Macaca fascicularis: one gene and its partners. The protein of the gene in region 3 binds, or shares a complex with, the protein of the main gene of each other region. Links are inferred from orthologs where the notes say so. Each region holds a gene or a part of one and is shown on either strand. Other genes may lie near its edges.

Region 1 (4,612 bases), on a different chromosome or scaffold from region 3:
GGTTGCAGTGAGCTGAGATCACGCCATTGCACTCCAGCCTGGGTGACAGGAGTGAAACTCTTGTCTCAACAACAAAAAACAACTCAAATTACTCATGGCCCTGGGAATGGGGGCATTTAAAAAGTTAACAAAGGGAACCAACCTGGTTTCCACAAAGATGGCCACTTCCGGGTCAGCCCAATCATCAGTATCCCTGGGTCCTCAGTATCCCTTCCTCTTTTGAGTGGGAATTATGAGATTACAGCCCCACCTATGGAAATTGAGCACACTAGCACTGGCCATGCTGTACATACGTCAAATGAGAGGGCTTCATACTGTTATAACAATCTGTACCACAATTCTCTGTGCGGTCTGCCCAGCTCTAAATGACATGTCCTCAGAGGCGCCATCATCTCCAAGTCCATGGAAACCACGCACTTATAGAAACCAGAACCTCCCATACCACATGTTACTAATGACCTACAACATCGACTTGGTCTGTATCATGCAGTGCTCAACATTCTGGTTGCAGCATCACATTTCTCAAGAATTTGATTCCATGCTGACTCCTTTACTTGGAGTATTGAGATTCCCCAGGTACAGTGAAAGTATGAGCCTCTCAAATGGAAGACCAGAAGCTGGTTCTCCTATGCTATGTCAATCCGCCACCCGGAAGCACTTGCTGCACCAACAGCATTCCCAAAGCTTGCCTCTGCAGCCCTGCAGCACCCATTAGAAACACTTCTCACAATGAACTGCTGTGCTGGCAGAGCCCTAACTGGACTGCTGGACAGCAAGCTCTGTGAGGCATCTAGGAAAAAAGTTCCCAAAATCCCGAGAAACATTCTTCACTCCGGAATAGCGTCACATCATTGAGTCATTTGGGATGACGGGGCATATCATGGAGCAGGTGTATTGGGAAGTCAGTGAACAGTAAGGCTAATTCATTAGTGGGCCTGCTGGCGTAGTATTTTTCCAGTTCCGCAGCCTTTAAATCATTGGTGGTCTTTAGCGTGCCGGATCAGCGGGTGGTGGAGTTGGAGGATAGATGGCAGGGATCTGAAGAAAGGTGAAGTGTAGACGAGTGGAGACAATGTGAAGTTTAGAAAAGACTAATTGCCGGGCGTGGTGGCTCACGTCTATAATCCCAGAACTTTGGGTTGCCGAGGTGGGAGGACTGCTTGAGGCCAGGAGTTCGGGACCAGCCTGGGCAACGTAGCAAGACCATGTCTCTACAAAAAACAAAAAAACCAAGCGAGGTGGTGCGCGCCTGCAATCCCAACTACTCGGGAGGTGGGAAGATCGCTCAATTCCGGGAGGTCGAGGCAGCAGTGAGCCGTGATCATGCCACTGCACTCCAGCCTGGGCAACGGAGCAAGACCCCATCTTAATTAAAAAAATATATTTAATACAGGAGAGACTGGACTGCTTTGAAAAGTGGATTTGATGGGAATGCGAGGTTTGGAGAGATCTTATGTTTTCCAAGACTTGAAAAACATTGTGGTTCCGTTCAGCCCTCCCAGAAAATACCTAGGGGACCTAAAGAGCGGACCGAGTACCTGTTCGTTTCCCCACCCCTTAGCCGGCAGGGCTCCGGCGGCGCCCTGGGAAAACGTAGGGAAGGGCCGTTCTCGCAGCGGTTACCGGAAGTGACGCATTCATTCTCGCGAGAAGGAAGACGCGCGAGCGTCGGCGGCCCGGAACCGGCCTTGGAACAGCGGCGGAGCCTGAGGCCGCTTGCCCTCCCGCCCCATGGAGCGGCCCCCGGGGCTGCGGCCGGGCGCGGGCGGGCCCTGGGAGATGCGGGAGCGGTTGGGCACCGGCGGCTTCGGGAACGTCTGTCTGTACCAGCATCGGGTGAGGCGGGGCGCGAGAGGGAGCGGCGGTGGGTTTGAGCGTCTGTGGAACACAGGGCTGACAGTGTGGGATAGATGGTTAGTGGGACCTTGGGCAGTATTTGTGGGCCAGTAGGCTTGTGTGTGTGTATGAGAGAGAAAGATACTCTGCCTGTGTGTGTCCAAAGTTGTATCTGAGGTACTGGGCATAGATAGAGCTGTTGCGGGGAACTTGGGTATGACTGTCAGGCTGTGACCAGGTGTTTAGTGAGTGTGACAGTGCGCGTGTGTCTCTGTGAATGTAGAGTGTCAGGGTGTGTGAGGCAGATGCACGTCACAGTGTGTATGTGTGAGCACGAATGTGTGAGAAGAGGGTTGAAGGAGACTGCCTGTTGGAATGTGTGCGTCCGTGTGTTTGGGTCCGTGTGTGCGCGCGCTTGCTTGGAGGCCGTGTGATATCAGTGGGGACTGCAGTAGACAAGGAAGGCTTCATGATGGGTCCAGAGTTAAACCTTTGGAAGTATGGATGGGCTTTGGAATTGGGGATGTATTCCAGGTCGGGACAGTATGAGGGTAAGTTGGTGCAGATCATGGCTTCAAACGGAAGGCGATATTAATAGATTGGAGATGGGGGGCGCTCCAGTCAGTGGAGGACAGTTAACATCAGACTCAAGAATTTTACTTTGATTTAATAGAGAATGTTTAACCATTGTAACAGCAGTTTAAAAAATAATATTTGGGTCATGTTTGTGTGTTTGTTAGTTTTTGTTTTCGAGACGGAGTCTCACTCTGTTGCCCAGGCTGGAATGTAGTGGCGCGATCTCGGCTCACTGTAGCCTCCTCCTGGGTTCAAGCGATTCTCCTGCCTCAGCCTCCTGAGTAGCTGGGATTACAGGCGCCCGCCACCGCGCTGGGCTAATTTTTTGTATTTTTAGTAGAGACAGGGTTTCACCATGTTGGCCAGGCTGGTCTCGAACTCCTGACCTCAGGTGATCCACCTGTCTCAGCCTCCCAAAGTGCAGGGATTATAGGCGTGAGCCACTGCGTCAGGCCTGGGACATGTATTTTTTGTTATAAAAAATGATAATCAATAAAAGCTGTGAACCCTTTCCCCAGAAAAATGCACAGATGCACATCCACGCAACCATGCATTGCCATTTGAGAGGTTCATGCTTTCCTAAAGGACATTTTAGGTAAATAGACCCCGGACTAACACTTCCTGTAATACAGGCTTTGTTTTGTTCCCTATAAAATAGGTATAGTATAATACTTGCATGCATCATGGGTTTGAGAGTTAAATAAAATAATAATGTATGTAAAGCTAAATACAGTACCTGACCCATGAAAGCCCTCAACTGTTAGCACCTGCTGCTACTTTGTTGTTGCTGCTATGATCATAATGCTCCTCATTAATTGGCCTTAAACAAGGAAATGTCAAGATTAAAAGTGTTGTTCTAGGAAAATGGTTTTGTGAAGGATAAATTTGAGTGGAACAACATGTGGGACAAGATGAACAGTTAAGATTTTACTAAAATGCCTGGGCTTGGATTGTGAATAGAGAAATGAATTCAAGAGGAAAAGTAATAATTTGTTATCTAAAGGAACATGGGTGTAGTGAGAAAGCTCATAATTTGGGGTGGGAGAAAGGGGAGATAGGTGTCTACTTTGGAGAAATAGGCATGTTTAGGGTAATTAGAATGACAACTGAAACTGATAGAACTGAGGAAGTTTTGTGAACCAGGTTTCTAGATAGGGTGTGGGAGAAAATCTTGGAGAAAGAGAATGGAAGGTGAAGGACTAAGGCATTAAATCCTATGATAGCAGGATAAGTAGTAAATTTAATAATTCTCACCATCAGAGGGAATATAACACACTAAAAAAATAAGTGGGAGCCAAGTGCTTCCAGTGGCATGTTGCCTGTGTTACCTAAGCCTGCCTATAGACTGATCATAAGGAAAAAGGATGCATGCTGGCAGCTTTTGTGACTTCTTTTTTTGGTCCCTGGGTGGGGATGGATGAATTCATCACTTTTTGTTTTATTATGGTAAAGTATACATAACACAACATTTATCACTTTATTTTTAAGTGTACAGTTAGGTAGCATTAAGTATATTGACGTTGTACAGCCGTCACCCTATCCCCAGAATATTCCAGCTTTTTAAGCACATAACTTTGTTGTTGTTGTACATCTATAAACTGCCCATAGAACATTCTTTGCGAAAAGGTAGAATTTCACAGAGTGGATGAAATATAAATTAAGGAGTTGAAGGATCTTACAAAGTGGGATTTTTGAAATAGATAACTTACTGCTCCATCAACATGAGCATTTAGGACTCAGTGCTGTTCATAGCTGTGCCTGATTCTCATCTCCATGGTGGTAAAGGTCTGCATGGGACATAGATATAACTGGCCACCTGCTCATAACAAAAGGAAGACTGAAGGGAGTGAGACCTGTGGGTAGGCTAGCTTGTAGTCTGTCCTATTTTCCTTCTTCTCTATGCACCAAGTATCATCTTATCTCTAGCCTTTTTTTCCTCTCAGCCCCCAATTCACACTACCCTATCCAAGCTGTGTCTTCCTTCCCCACCTATAATATATTTTTTTCTGTCCTGGCCCCTCTCTTTATTCATACACAGCCTTTATTACAACTCTGGTTTGTGTCAGAGATTACGTATGTTGGAAATTCTTTTGAACTCTCTTTGTGATATCAGAAACATAGTGTAGCCTGTTTTGCCCTGGCTGCTGTTTCTGAGCTGCATTATTAGTGTTGCCAGAATATGATGGGATCTGGCTATTTC
Region 2 (4,375 bases), on a different chromosome or scaffold from region 3:
TTAGTACATGGCCAGTCAAGGTAAAGATGATTGCAATCATCACCAGAAATCTCTGCAGAACTACAGAGGGCTCCTGGGACTAATTCTGAAGAGCTCTGACCGAAGTGTGCTTTATTTTGCCTGTACCAATTCTACCAAGTAGATGAATTCAGTCCATGGCTTGCAGGCTTGGAGGTGGAGGTGGGATGGAGAGCATAAATTACATTTCTGCAGGTGAAATCAGAGCATAGTGAGCCAAAACCCCTTTCTACCTGGGTGGCATGAATGGGTCCAACTGCTACTATCCCCCAGGACGAGGGAGCAAGGCGGGGTGGGCAGGATGGGAGGATGGGGCTGCCTTGAGCCTCCTGCAGGATGACTGGCAACTACTTTCTTAGCGGTCCTTAAGGTCCAATCGCGGTTAAGGCACTAACTAAACTCATTCTTCAGCCTCCTTCTCTAAGTGCTCCTCGAATTGCTCAGTTTAGATGCCCAGAAGTAGGCTCAGGATCCATTCTCTGCGGCAGCACAATGTAGGTCAGATAGCATGAATGCAACAGCTACTTATGAACACAATAGCTACTCTGTTATTGCAAGGTATCCACAACCACCACTACAAAGATTAACACCTTGCTTTACTTGGGGGAAAAAAAAAAAATCATGGTCCTATTCAGCAGTTTCCCCATACAGGGAGAGTTTGCCCCTCCCCCACTCAACAAGGCTGTTCATCCCTAGGAAGTGATTGGAAGTGATTTGAGAGTTTTCCAAGGATTTAGGCTTTCCACTCCTCCAAAGCTTTCACAGTTCTACCTGGCAGAGGTGCGTGGGGGGTAGGGGAGGAAGGGCGCGAAGCTAAACGTCCCCGTGCTGCAATGAGCCTGATATTAGCAGAAACACAAGAGCAGCCTGCAGCCCCATAACCACAGTGCGTCCTTCCCCTTAGAAGTCTGGGGAAAGCAAATCCCTACGCCCAGCCATCATTTCCACTCTTGCGTTTTCAAAAGATCAAAAAACGGAAAGGACCGGCAGGTTGGCAAACCCCAAAGAGGGACCGCCCATCAGGTCGGCGTCCTTGGGATCTCAGCCGCCGACGACCCCAATTCAAATCGATCGTGGGAAACCCCAGGGAAAGAAGGTTCACTTGCAGAGAGACAGGATTACAGGGTGCAGGCTGCAGGGAAGTACCGCGGGGAAGGGGGCCTGGTCGGAAGGACTTTCCAGCCACTTGGCACTCATCAAAAAGTTCCCTGTCCGTGACCCCAGTGGCTCATCGCAGGGAGTTTCTCCGACGAACCCCAGCTCAGGGTTTAGGCTTCTTTTTCCCCCTAGCAAAGGACGAAGCCAGTTCTCTTTTCTGGTCTGACTGGCTTGGAAATTCCCCGCGCCTGACCCCGCCCCAGAGAAATCCCCAGCCAGCGTTTATAGGGCGCCGCGGCGGCGCTGCAGAGCCCACACCAGCCCGTGCCGCCGTCCCGCCCGCCAGCGCCCCAGCGAGGAAGCAGCGCGCAGCCCGCGGCCCAGCGCACCCGCAGCAGCGCCCGCAGCTCGCCCGCGCCATGTTCCAGGCGGCCGAGCGCCCCCAGGAGTGGGCCATGGAGGGTCCCCGCGACGGGCTGAAGAAGGAACGACTGCTGGACGACCGCCACGACAGCGGTCTGGACTCCATGAAGGATGAGGAGTACGAGCAGATGGTCAAGGAGCTGCAGGAGATCCGCCTCGAGCCGCAGGAGGTGCCGCGCGGCGCGGAGCCCTGGAAGCAGCAGCTCACCGAGGACGGGGACTCGTAAGTGGCGCAGACCCGGAGCCGGGGGTCCTCGGGAGGGCCGGATGCGCGCGGCCGGGGAGTGGGAGGCGCCGGGCCTGGAGCCCGAGCTGGGGAACTAGCGATGCAGCCGGGCTGGCGCCGCGGCGCCCCGGGGCTCCTGCACCGCCCCGAACGCTGCAGGGCTGCAGGGCCGCGCGGGGCACCGGCCCGACTCGGAGGGGCGGCGGCTGGGCCCTGGTGGACGGCAGCGTCGCCACACGCCCCCTCCCCCCAGGCCTGTCCTCTAGGCCGGGGGCGGGGCGGCAGCTGGGACGCGAAGTCCCCGGTTGCATAAGGCGGGGCGGGAGTTTCTGGCCGCTGGCGGGCGCCGAGCAGCCGGGAGGGGAAGTACAGGGCGTTCCGAGCTGGCGGGAGGGCGGGGCGGTCTGGCCGGCGCCCGCCGGGGCCGCGGGGGGAGGGGGGCGGAAAGTCCCTGGGCGCCTGCCAGGAACACTCAGCTCATAATAACCTCGCGGAAAACACCGCGGCCTCGGCCTCCAGAAACCCCGGCCTTGCGCAATCCCCCGCAGCCCGCGCCTCCCTGGGCCCCACGCGGTGCACTCACCACCCCTGGGGTTTTTCCCTCTCTTCCCCACAGGTTTCTGCACTTGGCCATCATCCATGAAGAAAAGGCACTGACCATGGAAGTGATCCGCCAGGTGAAGGGAGACCTGGCCTTCCTCAACTTCCAGAACAACCTGCAGCAGGTGCGCCGCTTGCCTGGCCCGGGCTCTCTAACTCTGGGATGGAACTGATGTAGCAAAGTCACCCCAGATCCTTTCTGAATTCAGGGCCACAGGGCATTATTCACCCTCACCTTTTACTTCACGTCAGCCCACATCCTAGAGAGTGAAGGAAATTCCACTGATTTGGTGAGGTCTTTGTGACCCACCTGGAGTCTCTGCTATTTGCCAGTCCTCCCCACCCGCCTGTCTAGGAGGAGCAGCACCCAACCAGGAGACACGGGTTCAGGGGAACTCAGGGTGTGGGTTTGGTCCCTGGCTTACTTTCTCTGGTCTCTCCTGCATTCGTAGACTCCACTCCACTTGGCTGTGATCACCAACCAGCCAGAAATTGCTGAGGCACTTCTGGGAGCTGGCTGTGATCCTGAGCTCCGAGACTTTCGAGGAAATACCCCCCTACACCTTGCCTGTGAGCAGGGCTGCTTGGCCAGCGTGGGAGTCCTGACTCAGTCCTGCACCACCCCGCACCTCCACTCCATCCTGAAGGCTACCAACTACAATGGTATGTCTGCCTCCCTGCCCTGCCCCACCCCCTCAGGTGGCAGGTGATGTGGAGAAGGGGCAGGTGGGCCAACTTAAGGAGTCGAGGCAAGAACTTAAACTGCCAGCATTTGAAAGGTTGAGAAAATATGTGTGCAAAGTGCCTGTTGGATGCCTTTATAAAGTTCTTTCAGAACCCAAACGGTGGGTTCTTAAAATTCAGAAGATATGACTATTTGTCCCATAAAAGAATAGGTGAAAGGAGTGAGGGTTGAAACAGGTGGTTATACTTTTTTCGTTTTGTTCTTCCAGGCCACACGTGTCTGCACTTAGCCTCTATCCATGGCTACCTGGGCATTGTGGAGCTTTTGGTGTCCTTGGGTGCTGATGTCAATGCTCAGGTTAGTGCTTCCTGCCTCCGATGCACTGAGTCAAGTTCCTCGTGCTCATGTTGTGAGCAGAAATTCCAAACGCAGCCATAAGCATCTCAAATTCCTTTTGGTTTCAGGAGCCCTGTAACGGCCGGACTGCCCTTCACCTCGCAGTGGACCTGCAGAATCCTGACCTGGTGTCGCTCCTGTTGAAGTGTGGGGCTGATGTCAACAGAGTTACCTACCAGGGCTATTCTCCCTACCAGCTCACCTGGGGCCGCCCAAGCACCCGGATACAGCAGCAGCTGGGCCAGCTGACACTGGAAAACCTTCAGATGCTGCCGGAGAGTGAGGATGAGGAGAGCTATGACACAGAGTCAGAGTTCACGGAGTTCACGGAGGATGAGGTGAGTCTGTGAACTCCTTGGGCTCTCTAACTAATGAGGGACCATTCCCTTCACCCTCCCGGGCCCCTAGAACTGCTCCTTATCAGAGGGGTATCTACATAATGAGTCTCTCAAATTTCTGTGCATAACCAGTATCCCAATAATGTACCTTTTTTTTTTTTTTTTAAATAGCTTACCCTTTTTTAAAGAAAAGCATTTTTTAAAACATTTTTAAAATGGGAGTTAAAGGCAAACTCCCTCAGCCTGTAAAGTTCATTGTATTTGGGCTATGGAGAATGGAGTCCAAGGGTTATTTCCAGTAGCGGCCTCCCCATCCCAGTGGCTTGGCAGAGCTTCGGAAGTTTAATGTGTCTTCTTTCCCCTTGTTTTCAGCTGCCCTATGACGACTGTGTGTTTGGAGGCCAGCGTCTGACATTATGAGCGCAAAGGGGCTGAAAGAACATGGACTTGTATATTTGTACAAAAAAAAGTTTTATTTTTCTAAAAAAAGAAAAAAGAAAAAAAATTTAAAGGGTGTACTTATAGCCACACTGCACACTGCCTGGCCCAAAACGTTTTATTGTAGTGGGATCAGCCCTCATTGTGTTGCTT
Region 3 (3,932 bases):
ACACGGTGAAACCCCATCTCTACTAAAAAGAAGTACAAAAAACTAGCCGGGCGAGGTGGCGGGCGCCTGTAGTCCCAGCTACTCGGGAGGCTGAGGCGGGAGAATGGCGTGAACCCGGGAGGCGGAGCTTGCAGTGAGCGGAGATCCGGCCACTGCACTCCAGCCTGGGCGACAGAGCGAGACTCCGTCTCAAAAAAAAAAAAAAAAAAAAAAAAAGAAAGACAGTTCTGAAAGCTCCGACTAAAATACGAAACCATTACAGATAAGAATAAGAGTCTGCTGAAGTGTTAAGGCAGTTGTGCCCCAGCTGCCCCAGAGTGGCAAGAAATTCTCACCGCCCTGGGTGGAGGCTGACAGTGAGCCAGGACGTGAGCAGTGCAGGAAGGCATGAGCTGGAGGCTGGGGCCCCCCAGGGCTCCTCTTTCCCCAGAGCACGGCCCCTGTACTCGGCCTCGCCATGTGGCCGTAGAGGGGCAGATTCAGCCAACAGAGGCCTCCAAAAGCTGTGGGATTCTCAGAACTGCTGGATGTCACACATCCCTTCTCACTGGCAGAGGAGGTTGGGAGAACGGGTCTTGGGAAAGCCTGGCTCCTCGGTTTCCTCCTGAGGGTCCTTTGAGAGCGTTGGGGGCCCACCTGAGGAGAGCAAGTCCCACTTCTCCCCCTTACTTTCCCAGACGATCGTCACCGGATTGAGGAGAAACGCAAAAGGACATATGAGACCTTCAAGAGCATCATGAAGAAGAGTCCTTTCAGCGGTGAGATGGGGACCGGGAAGGACAGAGAGAAAGGCAGCGGGGAGGGAGGGGACACCCTGGGGCTGAGAACTGACCCAGCCCTTGCCCTGCAGGACCCACTGACCCCCGGCCTCCACCTCGGCGCATTGCTGTGCCTTCCCGCAGCTCAGTTGTTCCCAAGCCAGGTAAGGATTTCCTTTTGTCCTACTGGAACGACAGGTTCAGCTCTGTTCAGCTGAGGAGCAGTGGAGATGCAGACTCTTGGGCCCCATTACAGACCTACTGAATCAGAGGCTTTGAAAGGATGGCGCAGGAACCAGCAACTTCTGGGACGCTAATGCATGCTGAAGCCTGGGAACCACTGTGCCAGTTAAATCCTGTACTGGGTATCTTGGGATTCAGAAGTTAAAAATGCAGAATCGGCCGGGCGCGGTGGCTCATGCCTGTAATCCCAGCACTTTGGGAGGCCGAGACGGGCAGATGACGAGGTCAGGAGATCGAGACCATCCTGGCTAACACGGTGAAACGCTGTCTCTCTTAAAAATACAAAACATTAGCCGGGCGAGGTGGCGGGCGCCTGTAGTCCCAGCTACTCGGGAGGCTGAGGCAGGAGAATGGCATGAACCTGGGAGGCGGAGCTTGCAGTGAGCTGAGATCACGCCACTGCACTCTAGCCTGGGCGACAGAGCGAGACTCCGTCTCAAAAAAAAAAAAATGCAGAATCTCTGCTTTCATCTCTCACTTGAATTAGGGGGAACAAAAATCACTTCTGAATTAGCAAGACGTATGTGCCAGTGCGAGGCTCAAAAACTGACAAGCTGTCCACTTGAGGCCGCTGCTCACTTGATGCTCCATGGGCTCATTGCCTCTCAGGACTTAGTTTTTCAGCTGTAAACCGAGGAGTCCAGCTTGTCTCTCAAAGTGTCCCTTCCTTTAAAAGGCTGGGAGAGTTTTGTGGGCTTGAGTAGTCAGGGAGGACTCCAACGTGGAGGTGTGGCTAGAACTGGACCCTACAGGCTGGGTCAGATGGGGTAAGAGGAAGGAGATAGGGTGTTGGCAGTGACTTCCTAGAGAGGGATTGAGCCTAGGCGCCATCAAGAGGGGCTGGGGTAAGAGGACGGAGTGGATCTCTAGGGCTTTCTCTGACCCCTGCCTCTCTGTCTCTCTCCTCCAGCACCCCAGCCCTATCCCTTTACGTCATCCCTGAGCACCATCAACTATGATGAGTTTCCCACCATGGTGTTTCCTTCTGGGCAGATAAGCCAGGCCTCAGCCTTGGCCCCTCCCCAAGTCCTGCCCCAGGCTCCAGCCCCTGCCCCTGCTCCAGCCATGGTATCACCTCTGGCCCAGGCCCCAGTCCTAGCCCCAGGCCCTCCTCAGGCTGTGGCCCCACCTGCCCCCAAGCCCACCCAGGCTGGGGAAGGAACGCTGTCAGAGGCCTTGCTGCAGCTGCAGTTTGATGATGAAGACCTGGGGGCCTTGCTTGGCAACAGCACAGACCCAACCGTGTTCACAGACCTGGCATCAGTCGACAACTCCGAGTTTCAGCAGCTGCTGAACCAGGGCGTACCTGTGGCCCCCCACACAACTGAGCCCATGCTGATGGAGTACCCTGAGGCTATAACTCGCCTAGTGACAGGGGCCCAGAGGCCCCCTGACCCAGCTCCTGCTCCACTGGGGGCCCCGGGGCTCCCCAACGGCCTCCTTTCAGGAGATGAAGACTTCTCCTCCATTGCGGACATGGACTTCTCAGCCCTGCTGAGTCAGATCAGCTCCTAAGGGGTGATGCCTCCCCTCCCCAGAGCACTGGCTTGCAGGGGATTGAAGCCCTCCCAGAGCACTTACGGATTCTGGTGGGGTGTGTTCCAGCTGCCCCCAACTTTGGTGATGTCTTCCTTGGAGGGGGAAGGCATATTTTATTCTTTTATTGGCAGTACCTGTATCTATCTCTCTTTTTGGAGGTGCTTAAGCAGAAGCATTAACTTCTCTGGAAAGGGGGAAGCTGGGGAAACTCAAACTCTTCCCCTGTCCTGATGGTCAGCTCCCTTCTCTGTATGGAACTATGGGGTCCCCCATCCACATCCTGCAGCTTCTAGTACTCTCCTAGAGAGAGAAGCAGGCTAGAGGTAAGGCCTTTGAGCCCACACAGCCTTATTATCAAGTGTCTTCCATCATGGATTCATTACACCTTGAAATAACGCCCCAGGTACCAGCCCCTCTATGGCATTGGCATTGTCGCTGTGCCTAACACCAGCATTTGAGGGGCTGGCCTTCGTGCCCCACAGAGGTCTCTGCCGGCTCTTTCCTTGCTCAGCTGTGGCTGAAGGAAACCAGTGGAACAACGCTGGCTCTCTCAAGGATCCAGAGGGGGTTTGGTCTGGGACTTCCCTGCTCTCCCTCTTCTCAAGTGCCTTAATTGAGGGCAAGTTGTTAAAGAGAGTCGGGGAGAGCAGGCTGGCAGCTCTCCAGTCAGGAGGCATAGTTTTCACCGAAGAATCAAAGCACTTGGACTCTTGCTCTTTCTACTCTTGAATTAATAAATCTGTTGCCAAGCTGGCTAGATTCGCTTTTTTTCAGCAGACACTGAGCACACACTTTGCTAGTCACATCAGGCCGGACATTGGTGGTAGAGAGCTGGGTGAATGCGTGCACTGTCCTCTGAGAGCCTGCAGTCTGAGAATGCCCTTGGAAACCCCGAGTTACTGTCCAGTGGATGAAAACGGGCAACTAAGGCAGGAGTCCTAACACACCGAGAGCCTAGTAGGGCCCACTGACTGGGGATTGAGCAATTTCAGGAGTCTTCCCGGAGGCCCCATTTGCTCCAGGTCTTAGATCAGCTGAGAGTGGATCTCGCAGAGGGACTAGCCAGCGTCAGAGGTAAGAGAAACGATGTTCGAAAGATTTGATGGGGCCAGGAAATTTGGACTTAATTCCTTGGGTGGCCCAGGGAGTGTGTGCTTCTCTCTTGGGGATGTGTAGTGCCAGGTGAAGATCTACCCTGCCCCACCGATGCTTTGATACTCTGTTCTGGGAGGAACGGTGAAAGCTTCAATCCACAGCCTCAGGAAGCCAAAACAAAGGCCCAGCCGCAGCCCACAGGGCTACAGCTGGACGTACTTCCGCTTTGCCCCAGCGCAAGCTCAGAGCAAATAGCGCTGGCCGGCTTGGTCCCCCAGTTCTCGAGTGCGCAGGCGC

What was found.
Region 1: RELA (region 3) and CHUK share a complex: the UniProt entries of both Homo sapiens proteins name them as parts of the 70-90 kDa complex. The link is inferred for Macaca fascicularis from reciprocal best matches to the Homo sapiens genes RELA and CHUK.
Region 2: the proteins of RELA (region 3) and NFKBIA are in contact, whole or in part, in a crystal structure (PDB 1NFI), measured with the Homo sapiens proteins. The link is inferred for Macaca fascicularis from reciprocal best matches to the Homo sapiens genes RELA and NFKBIA. Residues at the interface, in NP_068810.3 of Homo sapiens: Arg50, His181, Lys221, Ser238, Phe239, Ser240, Gln241, Ala242, Asp243, Arg246, Arg253, Asp294, Arg295, Ile298, Lys301, Arg302, Arg304, Thr305, Tyr306, Thr308, Phe309, Ile312; in NP_065390.1 of Homo sapiens: Thr71, Glu72, Asp73, Asp75, Phe77, Leu80, Ala81, Ile83, His84, Glu85, Glu86, Leu89, Leu110, Gln112, Leu117, Ile120, Thr121, Asn122, Phe142, Arg143, Leu150, Gln154, Arg218, Asp226, Leu227, Gln249, Tyr251, Gln255, Leu256, Trp258.

The regions. Positions count from the first base shown.
Region 1 is NC_088383.1:109,176,086-109,180,697, reverse strand, and holds the start of CHUK (inhibitor of nuclear factor kappa-B kinase subunit alpha), read left to right. Parts: upstream 1-1,667; 5' UTR 1,668-1,731; coding exon 1,732-1,836; intron 1,837-2,935; exon of another isoform or gene 2,936-3,007; intron 3,008-4,612.
Region 2 is NC_088381.1:103,221,092-103,225,466, reverse strand, and holds the start of NFKBIA (NF-kappa-B inhibitor alpha), read left to right. Parts: upstream 1-1,430; 5' UTR 1,431-1,535; coding exon 1,536-1,762; intron 1,763-2,381; coding exon 2,382-2,490; intron 2,491-2,817; coding exon 2,818-3,028; intron 3,029-3,318; coding exon 3,319-3,407; intron 3,408-3,514; coding exon 3,515-3,784; intron 3,785-4,156; coding exon 4,157-4,204; 3' UTR 4,205-4,375. UniProt on the Homo sapiens protein: Inhibits the activity of dimeric NF-kappa-B/REL complexes by trapping REL (RELA/p65 and NFKB1/p50) dimers in the cytoplasm by masking their nuclear localization signals.
Region 3 is NC_088388.1:8,712,684-8,716,615, forward strand, and holds the end of RELA (transcription factor p65), read left to right. Parts: intron 1-677; coding exon 678-758; intron 759-850; coding exon 851-922; intron 923-1,911; coding exon 1,912-2,516; 3' UTR 2,517-3,294; downstream 3,295-3,932. UniProt on the Homo sapiens protein: NF-kappa-B is a pleiotropic transcription factor present in almost all cell types and is the endpoint of a series of signal transduction events that are initiated by a vast array of stimuli related to many biological processes such as inflammation, immunity, differentiation, cell growth, tumorigenesis and apoptosis.